Rhinolophus ferrumequinum: one gene and its partner. The protein of the gene in region 1 purifies or fractionates together with the protein of each later gene. This does not show direct contact. Links are inferred from orthologs where the notes say so. Each region holds a gene or a part of one and is shown on either strand. Other genes may lie near its edges.

Evidence for each region. The genes of interacting proteins can lie anywhere in the genome.
Region 2: the proteins of PER1 (region 1) and CSNK1D purify together in Homo sapiens (affinity purification with mass spectrometry; 4 studies listed by BioGRID and IntAct, counting the BioPlex papers as one, with this or other methods). This does not show direct contact. The link is inferred for Rhinolophus ferrumequinum from reciprocal best matches to the Homo sapiens genes PER1 and CSNK1D.

The regions. Positions count from the first base shown.
Region 1 is NC_046304.1:10,831,729-10,841,634, reverse strand, and holds the start of PER1 (period circadian protein homolog 1), read right to left. Parts: upstream 4,802-9,906; 5' UTR 4,664-4,801; intron 1,537-4,663; exon of another isoform or gene 843-1,536; intron 1-842. Other genes in the region: VAMP2 (vesicle-associated membrane protein 2), read right to left, coding at 8,167-8,183, 8,775-8,826, 8,923-9,081, 9,562-9,682. UniProt on the Homo sapiens protein: Transcriptional repressor which forms a core component of the circadian clock.
Region 2 is NC_046304.1:54,975,601-54,986,227, forward strand, and holds the start of CSNK1D (casein kinase I), read right to left. Parts: upstream 4,893-10,627; 5' UTR 4,575-4,892; coding exon 4,499-4,574; intron 1-4,498. UniProt on the Homo sapiens protein: Essential serine/threonine-protein kinase that regulates diverse cellular growth and survival processes including Wnt signaling, DNA repair and circadian rhythms. It can phosphorylate a large number of proteins.

The sequences.
Region 1 (9,906 bases):
GTTCCACGGACTGGCCTTGCTCCCCAGGGCAAAACACAACCGCCACCGCCCTCAGAGCAAAAGCCCAGCAACCTGACGCCCGCCTGGATCCCAGTCATTCTGGTCAAGACCACACACAGCCTTTCCTTCTCCAGCCCCCACACCCTCTCCCGACTCTCAGAACTGAAGCCGGCACCTGCCATTGTCAGGAACCCAGGAATCCTCTCTCCTCAGTCCTCTACTTTTCCAGACAACCCCACCCCACCCCCATCCGAAGCAGATACACTCAGCTGAGCCAGAGATACACAATAGCCTGCGCATAGTTAGTTCATCCCCTACTCCGTGTCCAACCACACCCCCAACCCCCGAGCATTTTTCTGAGCGCCAGGAGAAAAGGAAAGGCTGTGGCCAACAGCAGGAACTAGCGCCGGGAACGGGATGTTCCAGCCCGAACCGGGCTGACATCACGGCCGGCGTCGGGCCAGGGATTGGAAGGGGAGCGCCGGGAGCGCGGAGAGCCTGGTGGGGTCCCGGTACCGGAGCAAAAGCGGGGACCCCCCCCGAGTGACAAGAAAGGCGGCAGGGGGCATGACTGCTGAAGGTCGGGTGTGAGGCCAGGAGAGCTGGGAACAGAAAGCAAAGTGGGAGGTAAGGTAAGCGGGTCAGGAATGCAGACACCGGGTGCAGGGTTGCAAGGAACACCTGGGCCCCGGCGGGCAGAGAGGGAATGGACAGCCGCGAGGAAAAAGAATTATTGGTGTGCCGTCTGAGCGCCCGGGCCGAAAGCGGCACCTAAGGTTAGAAGTGGGGCTGTCCGGCTCGGGGCCGGTGACCGGTCTCCGGGTGGCCACGGAGACGCCTACCTGTCAGCGCGAGGGCCCTCCGGCCGCCTGCCTGTCGCTGTTGCAGCCTGCAAAGGAGTGGAAGCTCCGCAGGGACAGGAGGCGAGTTGCATAATGCCAGGCACTGCCCCTCATTGGCCTCCCGCCGGCGGAGCCACAGGCCCCGCCCCCGATTGGCTGGGGATCTCGTCCTGGCGCCTGATTGGCTACTGGCCCCCACTGAGGTCAGGGCTGTGTCACACACACGGGTGCACGTGGATCTGGGTGCTGGCACTGAGCTGAAGGGCCCCAGACACCACCGCCCAGCCAATGGGCGCAGGACGCCTTGTACAGTAAATACTGAAAGGGAGGGGAGGGGAAAAAAGGGGAGGTAAGCTGCCCTTCTTCCGGGAAAATGCCCGGGCCACAGTAGGTGCCTAAGAGATGTCTACTTCCTGAACTGACCAGCCTTGCAGAACAGGACACCTTGGCCTTCCTAGGGGTGGGGCAAAAAAATGCAGACCGTGAAAGATGAACCAAGCTGGATAATAATGGCTAGTCCTTGGGAGGAGGGGGACAGACAGAAAACTGGCCTGGCCTTTACTGGGTTCTCTGCCTCAAACTTGTCATCATAATAAAGCCCTTTTACCCGGCCCCTTCCTCTGTCACTTCAAATCCTGTTAACAGCTAGAAGGAGGGCAATTGAGGGCCTACGTGTGATGGAGTTGGGGGGAGGAGACAAACAATAGAAGGGACAGTAATGAGCCAGTGGGGGCTGTGAAGGGAAACAAGCAGGTGCTTCTGTGTTCAATCAGAGAAAAGGTCTCCGGGCAGGGGGGTGGGTGGGTGGTGGTGACTAGTGCTCCTCTCCAAAGGATGCAGCCACCCAGTTAAGGCTACCCCCAAAGTCGGAGGTGGGGGCTAAGGAACCAGGGCTACAGGGGAACAAAGGGGGTGGCTGAGAGAAAAGACCAACTGGGACCCTAGACAGAGAAAGGTGGGATGGCAAGGGCTTCAGATACCCACCACTAGGAAAAGAGAAACCCAAGGACATCATCTGTCTCCTTCACTATTCCCCAGCCCCCAGGACAGAACCTGACACATGGTAGGTGATTAATAAAAACGGTGATTTTCGTCCTTAACAAGGATAGATAGGGGAGAGAAAGGGGCTTCAGCAATGGAGAAGGGGCCGGAAATTATAGCCTTTTTTAAAAAAGGAGGAGCAGAATATTGAGTCCTAAAAAAAGAACAGGGGCCTGATATGGGGGACAAAATGCTAGGCTGGGCCCAGGGGAGCTGCAGTTACACAGACTTCTCCATCCAGGGCTGTGATGAGCAGTTCCTTCCAGGGCACCCTGGAGATGTGGGTGGCAAGTGAAGAGGCCCCCAAGCTCATGCTGACATAATCTGCTGTGGGTGCACTCCCTTCATTGTCACGTGGCCTATGCTTTCCTTAACAATGGTGTTTCCCGGTGGAGGGCCAGGGAGAAGGCTCTATGGAAAAGCTGGGGGTGGGTGGGGTTGTAAAATAACCTAGAAAAACCAAAGCAAGAAAACAGGAAACAAAGGATTCAGGAGCCCGGATTTTCAGTCTCCTCTCCCTGAAAATATACCCCCAACTCACATACTGTGGTCCCGTCCCTTGTCTCATTTTCAGACACCTCTTCTCTGGAAACATCATTTTTGTTCCTCCCCTGCTCTCCTCAGGGATTTAGATGTGATCTCCCCGGACACAGGCAGTCCTTGCTCTCCCACCTCCACCGCCTTATTTATTTCTTGCATGGACAAAAGGGCCCAGCGCTCCAGCAGCCCTCACCCGCTCCCAGGGCTCTGGTTGTCCTGCCTCACCGTCCCCACAGTAACCAGGCCCTGCTGCCGTCAATGGAGGAGAGGGGGCGGGAGACAGCGGTGACGTCAAAGCGCAGGAAGGGGGCGGGGCGAAGCCGCCGGGGAATGTGGGGCAGGGAGGTTGGAGAGACAGCGGTTTGGGAGGTGGCCAGCCTAAGAGGGCGGCAGCCAGCGCACTTAGGAACATCATGTTCTCTTGGCCGGTGGCCCAGGACATGCACCCAGGCTGGGCGCCACCCCCAACCCAACGACAGCCGTCCTGTCTCAACGCCAGGGATTCCTGGAGAGAGGATTAGAAGGGGTCCCCCTCCCCCGCCCTATGCCTGACTCTCTTCTCCAGACTCGCATCCGCCCTCCCCTCGGCTTGTTTCTACAGCTCCTGGCAATGGCTTTTCCCCTCTCCCAAATTGTACACATTTGCTGGCCCGATCCCAAAGAGACAGGGCGGGGAAGTTGGAGGCCCAGGTTCTGTAAGAGAACACGCACCTTTGCTCCTTTAGAGAGGCCCCCTTCAGAGCCTGAATCTCTTGTTACTATGGCAGCAGAGAGAGGGAGGAGGAGTAGGGAGAATGGTCTAGGATGAAGAAATCATACCGGGACAGAGCAAATGGCCCAGGCTGGGGCCTGGATCCTGGGGAGAGGGATAAAAGGGTGGAATGAGGGTTTGGGGATGGTGCCGGAAGACCAGAACCAGGAAAAAGGAAATGGGGAGGGAGTCACCAAAACTTGGCAGAAAAACCGGAGAATGTGAGAATAGTTCCCAACCAAAGCATTCACATAAATCTCTTGCCCTATCACTGTTGTTCTGTCATCCTACAGGCATTTTTTAGCTAAATAATTTTTAAAACATGACCCAGGCATTGTGCTAAGTAATTTATATACATTCTCTTATTTAACCACCAGAACAACCCTGTGAGATGGGTATTATTATCCCCATTCTACAAGGACTAAGGCTGATAAATTACTACACTTCACTAAATTGTCTTATAATACGTTCTCAGGCTCTTAAACAAATAGAACCCAGGGTTCAAATCTGAGCTTTTATGATGGGTTGTCATTCTGGCTTTTTAGCCTTCTGGAACCTGTGAGGTGTTACCCAGCACTGGGGAACCTCTACCTCTCAAATATCTAGCTGATTCTGAGTTTGGTACCTGGAACAGACTCCATCTCATCCCTCCTTTCCTTTGCGATATTCAGTGTGTACTCCCCACACACTTTGAATCATCATAGCCCCAGCTTTCACATGCTTTCGAAATCTTTGAGATCATCCTAGCAGCTACCAGCCCTAGGAACTCCACTTCTTCACTCTCCCACCCTACACCAGGTCCGTTTACCACCTGCCTGGGTGTTTGAGCACCCTGTTGGTTCCTCCTCACCTCCAGGGGCTCAGGAAGACATGTGCACAGCCAATCTGCACAACCCCAGCCTCCCTCTAAGGATCCAACACTTTTACTCCCAAGGATGGCTCCGAGGCCCAACCCCTCCGCTTTACACGTAAGACTTCCAGAGCCGTGATGTAACTGGCTCAGAGTCACACAAATCACTACATCAAACCTTTGGAATCCTCCCAACCTGTCCTACCAGTGCGTCCCTCCAGCCTCAGAACCCGTGCCTCTTTCAAGTGCTTAAGGCACATACCCAAACAACAGTTACGCACTGGAACGTCTTTCACCCGCTCTCCGGGTCTCCGTTCCAGTACCTCCTTGGTAGCTGGGGTCTCAGATCCCTCAGGTCGCTGAGGTCTTCCAAGCCCCTCCCCCCAGGCAGTCAGGAGTCCAGGTACCCCAGGGCGGTGAGGGATCTGATGTCAGTGGCTTCCGCCCCAGTCCCTATAGAGCTGAGTTCTCGGTCCCTATACTCCTCAACTATTAGGGCTCCCACCGATGGGATCACGCAGTCGCAGGATTCCACCCCTCAACACACACACACTCCATTAACACTCTTACAGACAGAACACACCACCGGAAAAACTCACACGGACCCCTGCTCCCCTCCCTCCAGCCCGGAGTACTCACCGCTCGGCTAGCATGCAGAACAGTCTCTTCTCAACTACGACCACAGAGACTTGGACTCGCTTCCTCCAGGAGCCTGCCCACCGACTGGGATGCCACGCCCCTCAAGCTTATTGGCCTAAGGGCGCCGATCCATGCCCCGCGCCGCGTGCGGCCGCCGGGCCGCAGCAGAGCCACCATTGGCGCCACCCGCCGCCGCCATCATCTCATTGGTCAAGATTGCCAACCGGCAGTGACAGACACACGTGAGGGAGGGGCTGTCCGGGCGCGTTATTGAAAGACTGACAGGAAGCCACGCCCCCATCCACTTCCAAAGTTCAGATTGGCTGTGGCAACATACCGAATGGCCTAGATCGGTGACTCAAACGCCAACCCAGCCCTCCGAACTTTCTCATAGGCTGAGGTCTCAGAGCTGTACAGGACACGTGCCGGCGGTCTCACGCGGCAACTTGTTTACCTAGAAGCTGGGGATTTTCCTTGACGACACTCCTACCCAAGGCTGCGGACTCTGCGCAGGCGCAGCGAATGTCACCTACAAGCATGCGCAGATGTCAGCAGCGGTGGCTTTGGTAGGGGTTTATGCTGAGACCCGGGTGAGCCCTACGGGAGTGACGAGAGCGCCTCCAGCCCTGGAAATTCTATCCTGGGTTCCTGAAGCTCCCCCAGGTTAGAAGGTGCATCCGGGTGAAGTGGTCTTCGGATCTCAGTGCCGCGTGAGGGTGAAGATGAAGATAATAGCAGGCTCCTATGAGTTTTTGTGGGCCAGGCCAGGCTCTTCTCACAGACATGGAGGCCCGCTCACTTACTACCCACTGCCTCACAAATGAGAGTGAGATCCAGAAAGGTTACATAATCCGTCTGGATTAACACACTAGTCAGTAATGGGGCCAACCCAGGTTCTAAGGCCTAGGAGAACCCTAAACCTGGAAAGTATTCAGTAGATGAAATGAGAAAGAGCTCTGAGCACTGACTGGAATACATTATAGTAAACCTCCAATAAATAGTGGACATTATAACTGTGTACCTAATTATAAGAATCATCTCTGCGAAATCAGACTCTCCAAGGAAGGGGCCTGAAAATCTAATTTTAAATGCATTTTTGGTAGTTCTTAGGAGCCCACAAGTTTGGGAAACACTGTCTAGGTTGCTTATACTCTTGAATCTTAATGCTGTAGCCCAGAGAAGTGTGTCCTCCAGAGCTCTCCTAGCACACTCATTGTTGAAGCACCTGGGGACAGGAATGCTAGGGTGCCACATCGGGGGCATGATGTATATATCATGGACTAGAGTTACCAGCAGGACAACAGAGTGCAGGGGTAGCAGGCCATCTATAGCCAGCTCCATACCACACTCAGCTGGGTCTTCCTGGGCCAATTTGTTCAGTAAGTATTTATTAACCCCTCCTGGACACAGCTGGCACTGTGTCGGGCACAAAGGGGAAGAGATGTTTCACAAAAGTTGGCCATTTACTTCAGGCAAAAGAATAAATGACCACAGGAGCGACTGCACAGAGTATGGGAGTTAAATCAAGGGGTAAAAGGGATCCAACAAACAGCAATAACATGCTTCCAGGCAAAGGAGAAGGGAGGGAAAACTGGGAAGCCTACACCTCAGGGTTCACCAGGGTGAGACATAGGTATCAGCTACATTTCCATTAACTACTCTTGGTGGGCCCCCCCCACGTGGCCACTTTGGGAATCACACTTCATCCATCCTGCCCAAGGTCAGGCCCTCTCCAGCAAAAGCTCAGTCCCTTCCCAATGTATCTCCTCAACCTTCCTGTTAAATCTGCAGACCCAATACTCTTCCCACTGGTTAAGAAAAGATCTTAGGACAGACACCACTTAGTTACTCATTACACATTTATTGTACATTTTCACAATCTGGATGCGCCACAGAATTGGGGGCATGGGGTGAGGGAAGGGGGGCAGGGGACACTGGGATAATATGGGGGGGTCTAGAGCACAACACCCCCACCCCCAGCATCTCTCCCTACCCTTTCACACCACAGCTTAGATCTCCCTGTTCCCCCTCCACAGACACCTTGAGTGTGGGGGAAAGAGTTTGGGGGGGGTCCCCTCTAGTGACAGTTTAAGGGACTGCACCCTTAAACCCCTAAAATTGTGCCATTTAAAAAGACATTAGACCCTTCCTCTATCACTTCACCTAAGGAGGAGACAGCTCTCTCTCTGGGCTGGACCACCATGGAGAGGGGCAAGAACCCCCATCTTTCAGCAAGTCCCGCACACACATTGGCAGTGACTAGTACCCACGCTCTGAATTCAGCGAGGGCAGTCAGAGGAGCTGGGCAGTGAAGGAGGCAACACCCCCCAAACTGAGGAGGGTTTTCAGTCCAACCCCCAGCAGGGGTGGGGCCAGAGGAGACTTCAGGCAGGAATTGGGGAGATTCTCTGCCCTGCTCCACTCCTCTCCAAGGCAGTGATGACCCCTCACACACTGGCAGCCACCTCCCAAAAGATATCAGATTATGGCCAACCCCCAACTCTCCTGGTGGGAGGAGGAGGGGCAGATCAGTCAGATGGGAGGGAGACCCCATGGGAATGTCAGTTGAGTGCCCCACATGAAAACTGGGGATCAGGAATGTGGGGAGAAACTCTAAGTGGCAGAATTATTGGTCCATCATAACACACTGAACTCCAAGACACTTATACACCAGCTGGAGGGAGGGAGAGGAGGGGACAAGAGGCTTGGAAAATGGGGGTAGGGGAGGCAAACTAGACTAGCGGGGCTAGGAGGGGATGATTCTGGGGGCCAGAGCAGCCTGGTTCCCCAAAAGCCCAGGCTCCCCACCACCTACAAGTAATGTCATGCAAATGAAAGTGTGACCAATGGGGACTAACTCCTCAGTAAAAAAAAAACAAAACAAAACAAAACAAAAAACAGACGGGTTGAAAAAACAAAGAGTGATGGAACAAAAAAGAAGGAAACCAAAAGGGATGTCAGTGTGCAAATGAATGCTAGTTAACATGCTGGAAACTCCCAGACCTTGGGATTCATAGGACCAAGTGGGGCCAGTCTCAGAGCCTCCCAAATGATGCACAGACGATGCACCTAGGGAGGCCTGGACAATTGCTTTTTGTCTTGTTTGTAGGGGGGGTGCGGGTATGGGGAAGGCCAGGGTGGAAGGAAGGGTCAGCTAAGTCCAAGGAAAGAAGGGAGGAAGAGGGACTATTGCATAGCAGATGCAAATGAAGGGACTTGGGGCTGGTAAGGAAAAGAGGGAACGGGAAGGAGGGAAAGAGGAAGGACGGGAACCTCAGGAAGGGGTGTTAAGGACAACCGGAAAAATCTTCTAGTAATAAAACTACAAACAGACCAAATATATATAATATTATATATGTATAAATAACAGCTGGCTATTTACAGGGGGGCACACACACAGACACACACGGATGGGGGGCTGGAAGATATGGCTGAGAGGTGGAGGAGCAGCTGGGAATGGGGGGGAGAGGCCCTTCTCTGGGCAGGGCAGGCTCCTCGGGGGTTTAAGAGCTGAAGTAAACTGTAGAGCGGGAAAGAAGGATGAAGGGGGAGAGGGGAGAAAGAGAGAGAAAGCAGTGTGTCAGGCCTGGCCCTGCTCCCATCCTCCCCACTCCCCAGCTGACTGACATCCCTTCCCCTCTGGGCCTTGGGTTCTCCCCTGTAAAGCAAAGGGGTTGGACAGGAGGTTCCAAGGTCTCTTCAACCCCATGGTATGGCCTTAGGGCCACAGACCCCAAATCCTCTGGGCCTCTGAGACCACAAGCTCTTAAATAATTCGGTGGTTGGCTTCCTAGTCATATATCAAGCCTATGGGCCTTTCCTGTTCTCCCACTCCCCAATTTCAGGGTTCTCAGGCCCAAAGAGTCCTCAAGGGAGTAGTGGGGATCCACTAGCTCTCGTTTCCAAAAATCGAAACAGAATTGCCCAGAACCAGGCAAAATGCAGGCTGAACAAAATCAAGGTGTGGAGCTCTAGATGAATCAGAACTGCCACTGGCAGCTATATATGCTTTTTGATGAATAGTAAAAACTAGGTTAATGACCTTCAGAACCCCGAACTCATAGGGAAACCTCTCCAAAGAAAGGGCCCCAGCCATTCCTGCCCTACTCACCGATGATGATGATGAGGATGATGGCGCAAATCACTCCCAAGATGATCATCATCTGTGGGTGACAGGAGAGGGGTCAGGGGACCGACCACAAACTCCCCATTCACCCACCAGTCCTCCTATCTGCCCTCCCACGTGCCTCCACCATTACCTTGAGGTTTTTCCACCAGTATTTGCGCTTGAGCTTGGCTGCACTTGTTTCAAACTGGGAGGCCCCCGCCTGGAGTGCATCTGCACGGTCGTCCAGTTCTGACAGTTTCTGGTCCCGCTCCAGGACCTTGTCCACGTTCACCCTCATGATGTCCACCACCTGGAGGAGGGGTCCACGAGGCAGGGGGTATGCCAAGGCCCGCCTCAATGAGGGCACTCCTCGACCACCATGCCCACATATGGAACATGCACCCCGATGTCGCCAGGCTAACATGCCAAGGACACACACAGAACAAGCCTAGCACACCTGGGGACATGCAAGAAGTACACATCAGGGGCATGCTGATAGCCAGACATCTCAGATGTCATAGCAGCACCCTCTATTTATCCAGTTTCAAGTAGCCTGCCCGTCACCAGAGCACACCTGCCCAGGCTGAAACACCCTAGGACTAGCAAGCTAACACTCCAAGGCCCTTACAAGTGCATGCTTACAGGGATGGGGCATGGTATGTCTTTGTCCCAAACCTCATAAACGTGAACTACCATCACCCCCAGCCCAAGATGGACCCCCCAACACTGGTTTGCCAACCCTCAGTGCCCTTCCCACCGTCTTTGGATCCCCCCAGCCCACTCCACTCACCTCATCCACCTGGGCCTGGGTCTGCTGCAGTCTTCTATTACTGGTGAGGTTTGGAGGGGGCCCAGGAGGGCCTCCCTCCCCAGCCGGGGCGGCAGGGGGGGCGGTGGCAGCGGTAGCCGACCTGAGGGGCAGGGACGGATTCAGACCCAGGGCCTGGAGCCTTCGGCCCCGCAGCCAGGACTCCGCCCATCCGCCTGTCCATCCAACCGTCCCTCCCTTCCTCCTTTTCGAGAGGGAAGCCAGCCGATGGGAGCCCTGGATTCCGTCTGGCCCCGCCGCCGAAGAGCTGCATGACCTTGAGTGGGGCCCCTTCCCCCCTCCAGGCCTCAGTTTCCCCGCCTGTCA
Region 2 (10,627 bases), about 44 Mb from region 1:
TGACTTCACCGCAAAATCGACTGTGCGAAGGAAAAGTGAACGCAGAGTTCCTGTGAGGACCTGGAACTCTGAACTGAACTCGCCAGCCCAGGAGGAATGGATGACTCATCGTACCAGTGACATCAGCAACTGCACACGCCCCGCAGGCTGAGCAGTTAAGTACAGCCTCTGGTGGGAGCATTCGCTCCTCCAACTATGTCAACACTGTCACCCTCGCGAGCCAGGACTCAGGTCCTCAGTGAAACAACAGCCTGGGCTAGCACCTTCGAGAAGGCGGGGGACATCTCGGCTGCAGCCCACTGTGGCTGATAAAGCTAACACAGAACAGTTACCCCTGCAAAACTCACAGTCTGCGGGGCAAGTGACCACAGACAACTCCGGAGCACAACACGAAATCCTTCCTTCTGCGGTTAGTGTGGGGCCAGCCTGCCCCCAGGATGACACACACGAAGGTCACCCTGAGTCTGACGACTCCAGATGGCGCTGGACCTGGGCTCTGCCACACGAACACGAGAGCAGCACACTGGGCTGCTTCGTCTGGGAGGCCTCGCCCACTGGGCACACGGACTGAGCAGCCTCAGGTTCTGTGCGTTCAGGGGCCACTGAGCAAACCTGAGGCTCACCAGTCTGCAGCCCCGCAGCCCTGTCCCACTCCCACTGCTGACAGTGGCCCCGCGGTCCACAGACAGTGTTGCTCTTGGTCCCCAAACTGCCACCAGTCCAGGAGGGGACACACACAGGACAGCGAGGAAGCACCAAGGAGCTCTGAGAGCAACGTGACACTGCTGCGACACGTCCATCTTATTTTGCAAAAGGATTCGTCTGCGACAAATTGGGACTTACAGCACCTGGTGCTTCAGCACAGTAACCTTTACAAGTACTGGGAAATGGGGAACGAGGATTTAAAAGGTATCAGCTGAGCTCTGGTTCCGGATTCAGAACCAGTCAAAACCAAGGGGCACGTAAGCATTTCTTCAGTGTCTGTTTACACTAAGGTGTTCCATCTCCCCAACAACCTCAACTTGTGAGCAGCTCGGAGCCCCAGGCAGACAGGAGTTCCCTCCAGAGGCAGGTGGGAGCCCATTTCAGATAGAAGTCAGTGCTGGTCCTAGGAAAACAAACTATGTTTTCAATTGACAGACAAGGCAGATGGTAAAGCCACTGACCCTAACCCCAAGCCTGACCCTGGGACAGGGAGGGAACTCCCACTGAGGAGTGACAACCACAAAGAAACAGGGAAAGGCCTCACAGCAGCAGGGCAAAGGCCACCTTCAGGACAACTGTTGACAGGGCAGCTGACCAGTGTCATGACCTCTCAGCTTAAGCCACCACCCTAAAGAACGCAGGCAGGTGACCAGACTGCAGTGAGTGTAGGTGATTGCTTTCCCCTCCTGATCAGCCAGCTGGCCAGCCAGCCAGCACTTTGAAACCCCTACTGTGTGTCCGACACCCCGCTGGGTGCCACTGAAGAGCAATGACAGTTGGCGAGGGGAAACCATGACAATCAGGTATGAAGGGGTTTCTAAGCTTTAGCTCCCAGAAAAGGGGAATGTGCACATTATGAAGAAAGACCACGGTCTACCCCGGGGACAGGCAGACAGGCAAGGCTGTCGTCTGATAAACTGAAGGAGCGTCAGGATCAAGTACAAATGCCAACAGCTGGCAGGAAGAAAACCTCCATTCTGAGCAATCAGGAATGAGGGGGTCCAAAGACCCAGCCGACAGACACAGACGAGAATAGAGCTCCGTGAGAACGGGGGGGGGGGGGGGGGGGGGGAGGCGCACACTGCCCCTCAGACCTCAGCTCCTCACAGGCACCCCTTGAACCTGGCTGCACTTCAGAATAGCCCCTACGCTGACCACGGCACTGCCACACAGCCTGGGCTCCCGCACACCCCAGCTTCCTAGTCACACTGGGGTTTGGAACACGGGTCCACGTTAAGAACACTGGCTCTCCCTTGGTTTTTGAACATTATCAAACGTATGAGACGCACACTGCCACCAAAGCGAAACGACTTCGGGGACCCACTGCCTTTTGCAAGACACCTCACCTCCAGCCACCAGGGGCTAAAGCTTGCGGGAAGCTCAAGCTGAGGGAGGCCGGAGAGTGAGAAGCTTCGCCTCACGCCCACCTGCAATTCCTTCTGCCTAAGTGTGTGCTGCACGCATGCACACAGGACGTGAGCACTGAGGCCTCCCCATCCAGCCCTGCCCAGGAGCCTTCAGGACCGGTCAAGCTTAGGGGGAGGCAGACTGAGGTTCAAGACTATACGTTTTGGGGTCCACGGTGGCCCCAGTCCAAGTACTTTCTGAAGCCCATGCATGGGAGAATCAGACCCGAGATACTGCCCCCCTTTGAAGGGGCAATTTGGGGAACGATTGGAGTGACCTGGCAGGGCCCAGTGCTGCATGCCCGAGTCAGCCTGCAGGACACCAGGAGACAGGCCAGCACTGGGCCTTCCTGATCCACGAGGCGCGCAGCAAGCTGGAGGCCAGCCTTCCCTCCACGAACATACCGATTCCCACGAGGAGGACTCAATTCCTTAAGTGATGCCTAATTAGAGGCCTAAACAAACAGGAAAAAACTACAGTACAAATAACGCAATCCATCCCCTGCTCTTTGGACCTGTCATCTTTGACCCTTAACTACAGTACACAGTGAGCTGCCTCAGACCCACCTTTTCCAGCCACATCTCAAACTAGCAAGGTCACTTCACATTTTCAGTGGGTAACTTGCAGCCTGAAAGGACCCCCATGTGGGCCAAGAGCCAATGCTGAGGGAAGACGCCTGGTTATGCTCCGTCCCATACAATACCTCCACGTGCACCCCGACGGTGGGCTGTGTGGGTGCTCAGGAGGGCGTGAGAGCCACCGTCCATCCATCTTAGAGCACAGGGACAGAGACCGAGGACAGACCCCTCGGGCCCGGTCAACTGGACCTGTAGCAGGTGCGCCCACATGGCTGAGGCCCAAAGGACGCCGTGGTGAACGGGCAGGTGGGTCCCCACCGAGCTCCCACTCCCGATGAGACAGTTTACATCGTGTGACTGACCTGGTGACAACTGGTCCACAATGCAATCGTCCAAACCCAGCTTCGGAAAGCACAGAGCTGTCTGGGAAGTCTGACCAGAGGACAAAAAATTTCAAGGCATCTACTTTCTGATGCCTGTGCAAGGGTGACTAACGGACTGGCTTTTCAGCACAGCTCCTAGATCGTAAGTTAAAACTTTTGCCAAAATCTATTGTTCTATAAATAAGGCAAACAGCTTGCACTTACCCGGCCCAAAACGCTGCTGAGAACGCATTCGGCTGACTACTGCATATAAATATTTAAATAGAAGAATCCCAGTGTCTCCAAAGTGTATTTTACTCAGCAGGACAGTAGGCACAAATGTGGCATGTGACGGGGGTACTCTGCAGGGCACCGAGGCACCAGAAGCAGTGATGAACTTCCCCAGCGCACGTGTGGGCCCCTCTGAAGGCCCTGCGTCCTCTCCAGGTGACAAGACAGAAGGACGTGCGTGCGGTGAGCGCACACACCTGGGCTCAGGTGCAGGCACCACCAGAAATACCGACAAGGGAAGTACTCCCGACCCTCCCTGACAGGCACAGCGACCAGAGGGAAACAGCAGAGCGGGCTGCCCACCGCGGGGCCTGTGAATCCCCAACGTGCCAGGGTGGTCCCTCTGCACACCGGTCGCGGTCGCGAGCCGGGCTGGACGGTCCCAATCCGGGGGTGGGGGCATAACTGACGGGCGATTCCCGAGAAACGCAGACACCTTCTTTCTAAACGTCCAACTGTGGGATTCGAGCCTCCTCTTATTCCACACGTGCACGTGCGCGTCCTTTCGAGGGAAACCTAAGCCAACCCAGAACATTCGAACACTAACACGGCTCTCAAATCTATATTGACAATTTCACAGCCCAAGGGACAAGCGCGGAGGGACAGCGGGTCGCGTCCGCGCGGACCGGGTCTCCAGCCCCGTCAACGTCTCCTCTTTAACCGGCGCCCAGTCGGGGCTCGGATGCGCAACACGTCCGCGGCACCGCTCGCCCGGCCGACGCCCGCCGGGGCCGCTCAGCCGGGGCTGCCTGGTCGCGAAGGGCACCGAGGGGCGCGGGAGCCTCGCCCGGCCGGTCCCGCCCGCCCCGCCCCGCCCAGCCCACCGCACGCGCGCAGGACGCGGGGGCCGCACACCGCCCGACGGCGTTTGTCCGTCTGCGGGTCACCGGCGCCGACGCCGGGCAGCGGGGGCAGCGGGGGCCTCGGGCCGCGGCCCGGCCACTGCCCGGTGGCGGCGCCGGGCGCACGTTGGGGCAGGTGCCCTCGGGCCGGGCGGCGCGGGCCGCGGCTCGGGAAGGCCACAGGGTCCCCTGGAAGCCGCGGGGTCCCGACAGGAGCGGGTCCCGGGGCGGGGCCGGGGTCAGCGGCCGGGGGCGGGGTCCCGGGCGGGCGCCGGGCTGGGGGCGGCCCCGGCCCGGGGGAGGGGCGCCTCACCAAGGTAGATGTCTCCGAAGGAGCCGCTGCCGATCTTCCGGCCCAGCCGGTACCTGTTCCCGACTCTGAGCTCCATGGCGGCGGCGGCGGGCCCGGCTCGCTCCTACCCTCCCGGCCGCTTCCTGGGTCTGAGCTCGGGGAGGCGGCGCCGCTGCTGCCGCTACTGCGGGTCCGGCTGCCGGCTCCGCCCCCCTCACGGCCCCGCTTTCACCATCGCTTTCCGGCCGCCCCGCCGTTCCCAGCGCCTCAATAAGGGGCGGATGGGACAGTCCGAGCGCCGCCGCCCCTGCTCCGGCCCCCTCCGGCCCCGCTCGCCCTCTCCCCGTCGCGGATGGACTCGGATATTCCGGGCCTAAATCCCCCTTCAGCTGCCTGAAGGAGCCGCCGCCATCGCGCTGTGACGTCACTTCCCTTAGCAACCCGGCGGGCGGGGCCGCGCTGCCGGGGGCGGGGCTGCGCTGCCCAGGGGGCGGGGCGAGCGGGCTCCGGCGTCCTTGCGAACCACCGACGCCGGGGCCAGCCCCTTATTCTCTGTGGCCCGAAGTCCCCGTCGCAGGTCTGCAGCTCCCACCCGGCCGCTTCCCGTGTGCAGCCTCCACGTTTGCCCCCGCGGGTGTCTGGGAAGCCAGCGGCTCCTGGCGACAGACCCGGGACAGGCCCGCAGGCAGCGCCCTCGCACTCAAAAGGAGGAGGGCCTTCCGCCCTGGGTCGGCGCCGGGAGGGAGTGACACTGGCCGGGTCACAGGGGACAGAGGTGTGCACGGCCCTTTTGGCAGCTCGGGACTTAGCTACTGTGCAGTCCAGGGCTTGCAGCACGGCCTGCCACTGCCCCTGACGTCCCGTCCTACACACTCAAACCTAGGGCGGAAGGACGGAGAGACACGTCCTCGGGTCTGGCGTCAGGCCTGAAGGGTGAAGGTGAAGGTGAAGCTACCAGGGCTTCAAAGGGTGAGGCCCGGACAGTCCGCCTCTCCAGGCCCATCCGCCTGGAGACTTAGTCAGCATTGTTATCTAATCTGTGTGCGGTCTGAAAGTTCTTCCTTGCAAAAGAAAGCTGGAACGTTGAAGTTCAGGCTGATCTGGACTCCACTCCAGTCACTGGGAAGGGAGTCTGGGAAAGGCCGCCAAATTGAGAAGAAAGGGCTTCCATATGGACACGTCTCTAGGCCTATCCTCAACCCCGGCTAAAGTGGCAACGGTGAAACAGGCTGTTAACATATATGTTTGGACATCTAGCAAACACACTCCCGTGTGCACAGAGGTGTGGGCTAGAGTAGCCGGAGCAGATGGTCAGAACCAGGCCCTTCCTGTGGCACAGGCAGCCTCAGGAGAGCAGCCTTTGTCGGAAAATGTTTGGAGGTCCGGTTGGTGAGGCCGGCATCAATTCCTGAGCAATCAGTCCGTGGTGGACTGGTGGGCAATCGGGAATGGCTCCGTCCCTGCCCAGTGGTTGCCCAGTTTTTCAGTCTTAGGGCTGGGGGTGGGTTTTGACAAACTAGTAAAATAGCCATGGTGGCAGAACTGATGATGGGCAGTGCCTGCTTCACCCACCGGAGAAAGCCACAAGTGCAAACTGGAACCAGAAAGGGGCCTGGAGCCCGCTCCCTGGACATAATGGACCACTCCCTGAGCTGCCCCGGCTGATTGATGGCCTGCAGTCCCCTCCTGGGGCCTCAGTGTCCTGTCTCAGAAAGAAGTGGCAGCTCTTTGGACCACCCCAGGCCCCAGGTTTCTGCCTGCTTCACCTGTTTATTCACAAACTTGGTCAGGATAATCAGCCAACACGTAATCAGTAACATGAGCTCTCCAGAACATCTTGTGACTCCCCATGACTTCAACAAGAAGTTAAACTACATTGTCTGATCAGAGCTCGTCCCCAATGACAGGTCTCACTGCCTCCCAGCCTACTGTCCACAGGCTGCTGTCCACAGCATGGCTATAAAGATGGTTCTAGAGCTCACATCCCATGCAAGCCCTGCCTGCTTAAAACCGACCCAAGTCGAACCTTCGTACTCCTGGAGGGAATGTAAAACAATGCAGCCACTTTGGAAGCCAGTGTGGGGTTCCTCAAGAGATAAAGGCAGAGTTACCATGTGACCCAGAAGCTCCACTCCCAGGTCGGTACCCAAGAGAACTGAAGATATCTGTCCACAGAGAAATGTATGCACAAATGTTCAGAGCAGCGTTGTTTTATTTATCACATGTAAGCAACTTTTTACAGCCCATATATCCATAATGAATGAATGGATAAACCCTATGTAGTTTATCCTATGTGGAGTAATTATCACACAACCATGTAAAGAAAGAAGCTCTGACACCTGCTACAATGTGGATGGACCCTGAAACACTGAAGAAGCCGGGTTCAAGGGGCAACATGCTGTATGATTCTGTTTACATGAAGTGTCCAGAACGGACAAATCCACAGACCAGGAAGCGGATTAGGGCTGGGGAGCGGGCTGGGGGGAGACTGCTGGTGGGCCTGGGGATCCTCTTTGGGGAGGACCAGCGCATTTCAGAACTAGGGAGCAGACAAGTATACAACATCATGAATGGACACAAAGCCACTGACCTGTACACTTTCAAACAGTTAAAATGGTGAATTTTATGTTAATTTTATCTGAATTGAAAAAAAAGCATGGGTCAGCCTCTGGGGACTGAACCCAGCTTCCGTGCTAAGATTTTGGAGGGTCCTCACCATCCCACAGGAATGATAACAGTTCCCTGAATGCGTCAATGTCTCTGCTCAGGGCCCCTGCAAATGCTGCACCTGTAATGTGTTTCCCCCTCTCCTCCCACAGACACACACACCTTTGTTCAGCTAACTTCCCGGTCTTCCCAGCCCCATGGTTGCTACAATGGAGACAGCCCAGCCTGGACTGAACAGGAGGGGAGGAGCCACTACCTTTAAAGGCAGTGACTGAGAGTCTGGGCTGGGGTGGAGGTCAGGTGCCCAAGTTTCAGTTCCCGCTCTGCCTCCAGCTCTGCACCCTTGTGCTGGTAACTCAACCTCTCTGTGCCTCTGTGCTCTCATCTGTGAAATAGGAATAACATCATCGAACCCTAGAGCTGTGGAGAAGGGTGAGAGGGTTACCACGGGCACAGTTCAGAACAGGGCCTGGAAACAACTGCTGTATAAATATTAGCTGTTTATATAACTACTGTTTACTTGGAAAAGGAGCCGTCACGCAGGCAGCAGCAGTGATGTTTGCCACCAGAGCAGCTGATGGTGCCGACTGGACAGTGGCTTCCTACTAAGACCCCCCGGCGAGGCAGGACCTGTGCCCACTCCTCACCCGCAGGCCGATGCCGATGCCCGACGGGACCAGCACTAACGATTATCCCCATTTAATGAACACCTGCCCACGGAGTTCCGGCCTAGGGAAGCCAACCATCACAAAGGGAATAGTGATTGCCAACTGGGCCAGGACTATGGAGGACCAGACGGGTTGCAGGCCACACCACACGCGGGAACCAGGCTGTAGTTCGCAGCTTCCAGCAGCTTCCATAGGGAGGTGACCGTCCCTGAGATCTGAAGGAGGAATTACCTTGGTCTGGGGGAGGGGGCTCACAGGGAGGGCGCGCAGAGGCTCACAAGCAACTTCCCAGCAGCAGCCAGAGCACAGGCAAGGCTGACAGAGGCCTTTCGGGGACAGAGTCCCAAGGAGCAGTTTCCAGGCTCTCGGCCTCACGTGGAAAGGTGCTGGCTCAGGTAGTAGATGGCCGTCCGCTGTGGCTGGGTGGCCATCAGCTGTTACCGGTTAGCCCTTAGCCACTGATATAAGTGCCGGGGCTGCGTTGGGGGGTTGGGGGGTTGGCAGAGAAGCGGATGGCGGGTTGTGGATCGTGTGGCTCCTGCTTCCTGTGTCTCCAACCCAGCCGCCAGCGAGACTATAGTGGTGTGAACCCCCATCCATGGCTCCGTGGGTGTTCCTTTTTGGCCTCACCATGTCCTGTGTTCTTCTGTGGGGAGTGGGAGCTGAGACCCCGCATGACAGGCCTCATGAAGGGGGGTGTCAGGGTTGGCTAGGATTCTAGCGCTGACAAGTGTTTGCTCTAGAGGCAGCCACTAGCCACACATGGCTATTAAATTAATTAAAATGAACTAAAAGTAAAAATCCAGTTCCTCAGCCTTGGTAGCCATGGTCCAAATGCTCAGTGGCACGGGGATCGGACAGCACAGCTCAGAGCATTTCCATCGTCCCCAGAAAGCTCGCTTGGGCCGCTGGGACCAGGGCTCTCAGCTGGGGTGGGGGTGGGGCGACATGTGGCAGTGTCCCATTGTCACAATCGGGGGATTGCTGGCACATCAGACCTGGAGGTCAGGGATGCAGTGCACAGGGTGGAGACCCCGCCCTAGAACGAGCCCAGTGCCTGATTGCTGCTCTGCCCACTGGATGGAGGCCTCGCTGAGCCTGACTCTGGGTCGAGTGACCCAGCCCTGGTCAACCCCAAGCATGTTCTGTCAGGAGGCCTCTGGAGGGGCGTCCTGGCGCTGATGCAGGAGTTGAGGGTTCCGGGGTCAAGTCAGGGCAAGTTTGGGATGCTCTCCAATGGGGCTCACCCACAGGCCTGGGAGTGGGGGGCGGGCAGTGCTGTGCAGGCCAGCACTGTGATGGGGTTAGGAGGTGCGGCCTTTGGCAGTGGCGATGGCATTAGTGCCCTTATAAGAAGAGGCCTGAGAGCGAGCCCCCTGCCACACGAGGACAGTCAGGAAGCGGCCCTCCCAACACACACCAGGGCTGCTGGCTCCGTGATCTTGGATTTCATTTCCAGGACCTTGAAAGATAAATGGCTGTTACTGCAGTCACCCAGTCTATGGTATTTTGTTATAGCAACCTGGAGTATTTACCCAACTGAGTTATAAACCTGCACCCACACAAAAACCTTCCTGAGAATATTTATGGCAGGTTAGTTCATAATTGCCCCAAACTGGATGTAACCAAGATATCCTTCAGTAGATGAATGGATAAACCAACCGAAACATTCAGACATCTGGCTATTATTCAGCACTAAAGCAGTCAACTATCAAGCCACAAAAGGCACAGATGAATTAAGTGCATATTGCTAAGTGAAGGAAGCCAGCATGTAACGGCTACATGTGTATGATTCCCTTTACATGCTAAACTGGACCAAGCAAAACTGTGGAGGCAGTGAGGAGAGCAGTGGTGCTGGGGTGTAGGGGGGTGTTTGGGCCGGGAGACGCTGTGTGGGGCTGCAATGCTGGACTCATGAAACTACATATTTGTTAAAATCCACAGACTGTACAGCAGAAAGAATGAGCCTTCATGGATTTAATCATGCAAATTATAAAGAATAAATAAATCAAATAAATGCAAATGTAAAAGTATTACTTGGGAACTGGGGGTCTGAGGCTGGAATGACAAAAGAACATGAAAGCTACTCCCTGAGCGGAGAGTGGGTGCTAACCCAGGTCACGCTGGAAGGGAGTGGGGTCTGTGACACTGAAAGCAAAGGGAACCCCCCCATAGACCTACCCAGGTTGGTGACGTTTCCCACGGGGTACGCACTAATGATTGTGACACCACGGACGTGAACACTGGAACTGAACCACTGAATACACGGGTAGTGGGTTTCTCACTGTTGGAGTGGGAGTTTACAGGTGAGCAAAGGAAAAAGGCTGGAATGATCCATGAGGTAACAGGTTAGAGGCATCAGTAGCAACTCATGCTTAATATGGCCACTCATGAAAAATTGTAGACACACGTGTGTGTGTACAGCTGAGAAGCAGCGGCTCAAAGTAGAAACAAGCACACCCAGCACCATCTCTCGTTTGGTCACTCACACCAGTCTCCAAGGAACCAGGGCTACCTGGGGAAATGGTGGATTTGAGGACAGGGCAGAGAATTTAAACAACTTCATAGGTGGAGCCCTAACCTCAATGTGACTGTGTTTGGAGATGGGGGTGCCTTTAAGGAAGTAATTAAGGTTAAATGAGGTCATAAGGGTGGGGCCCTGATCCTAGGGAACTGGTGTCCTTAGGAGACATCAGGAGTGAGCGTAGAGGACAGGCCGTATGAGGACACAGGGAGGAGGCGCTGTCTACAGGCCATTGAGAGAGGCATACTGGTCGGTGCCTTGACCTTGGACGTCCAGCCTCCAGAACTTTGA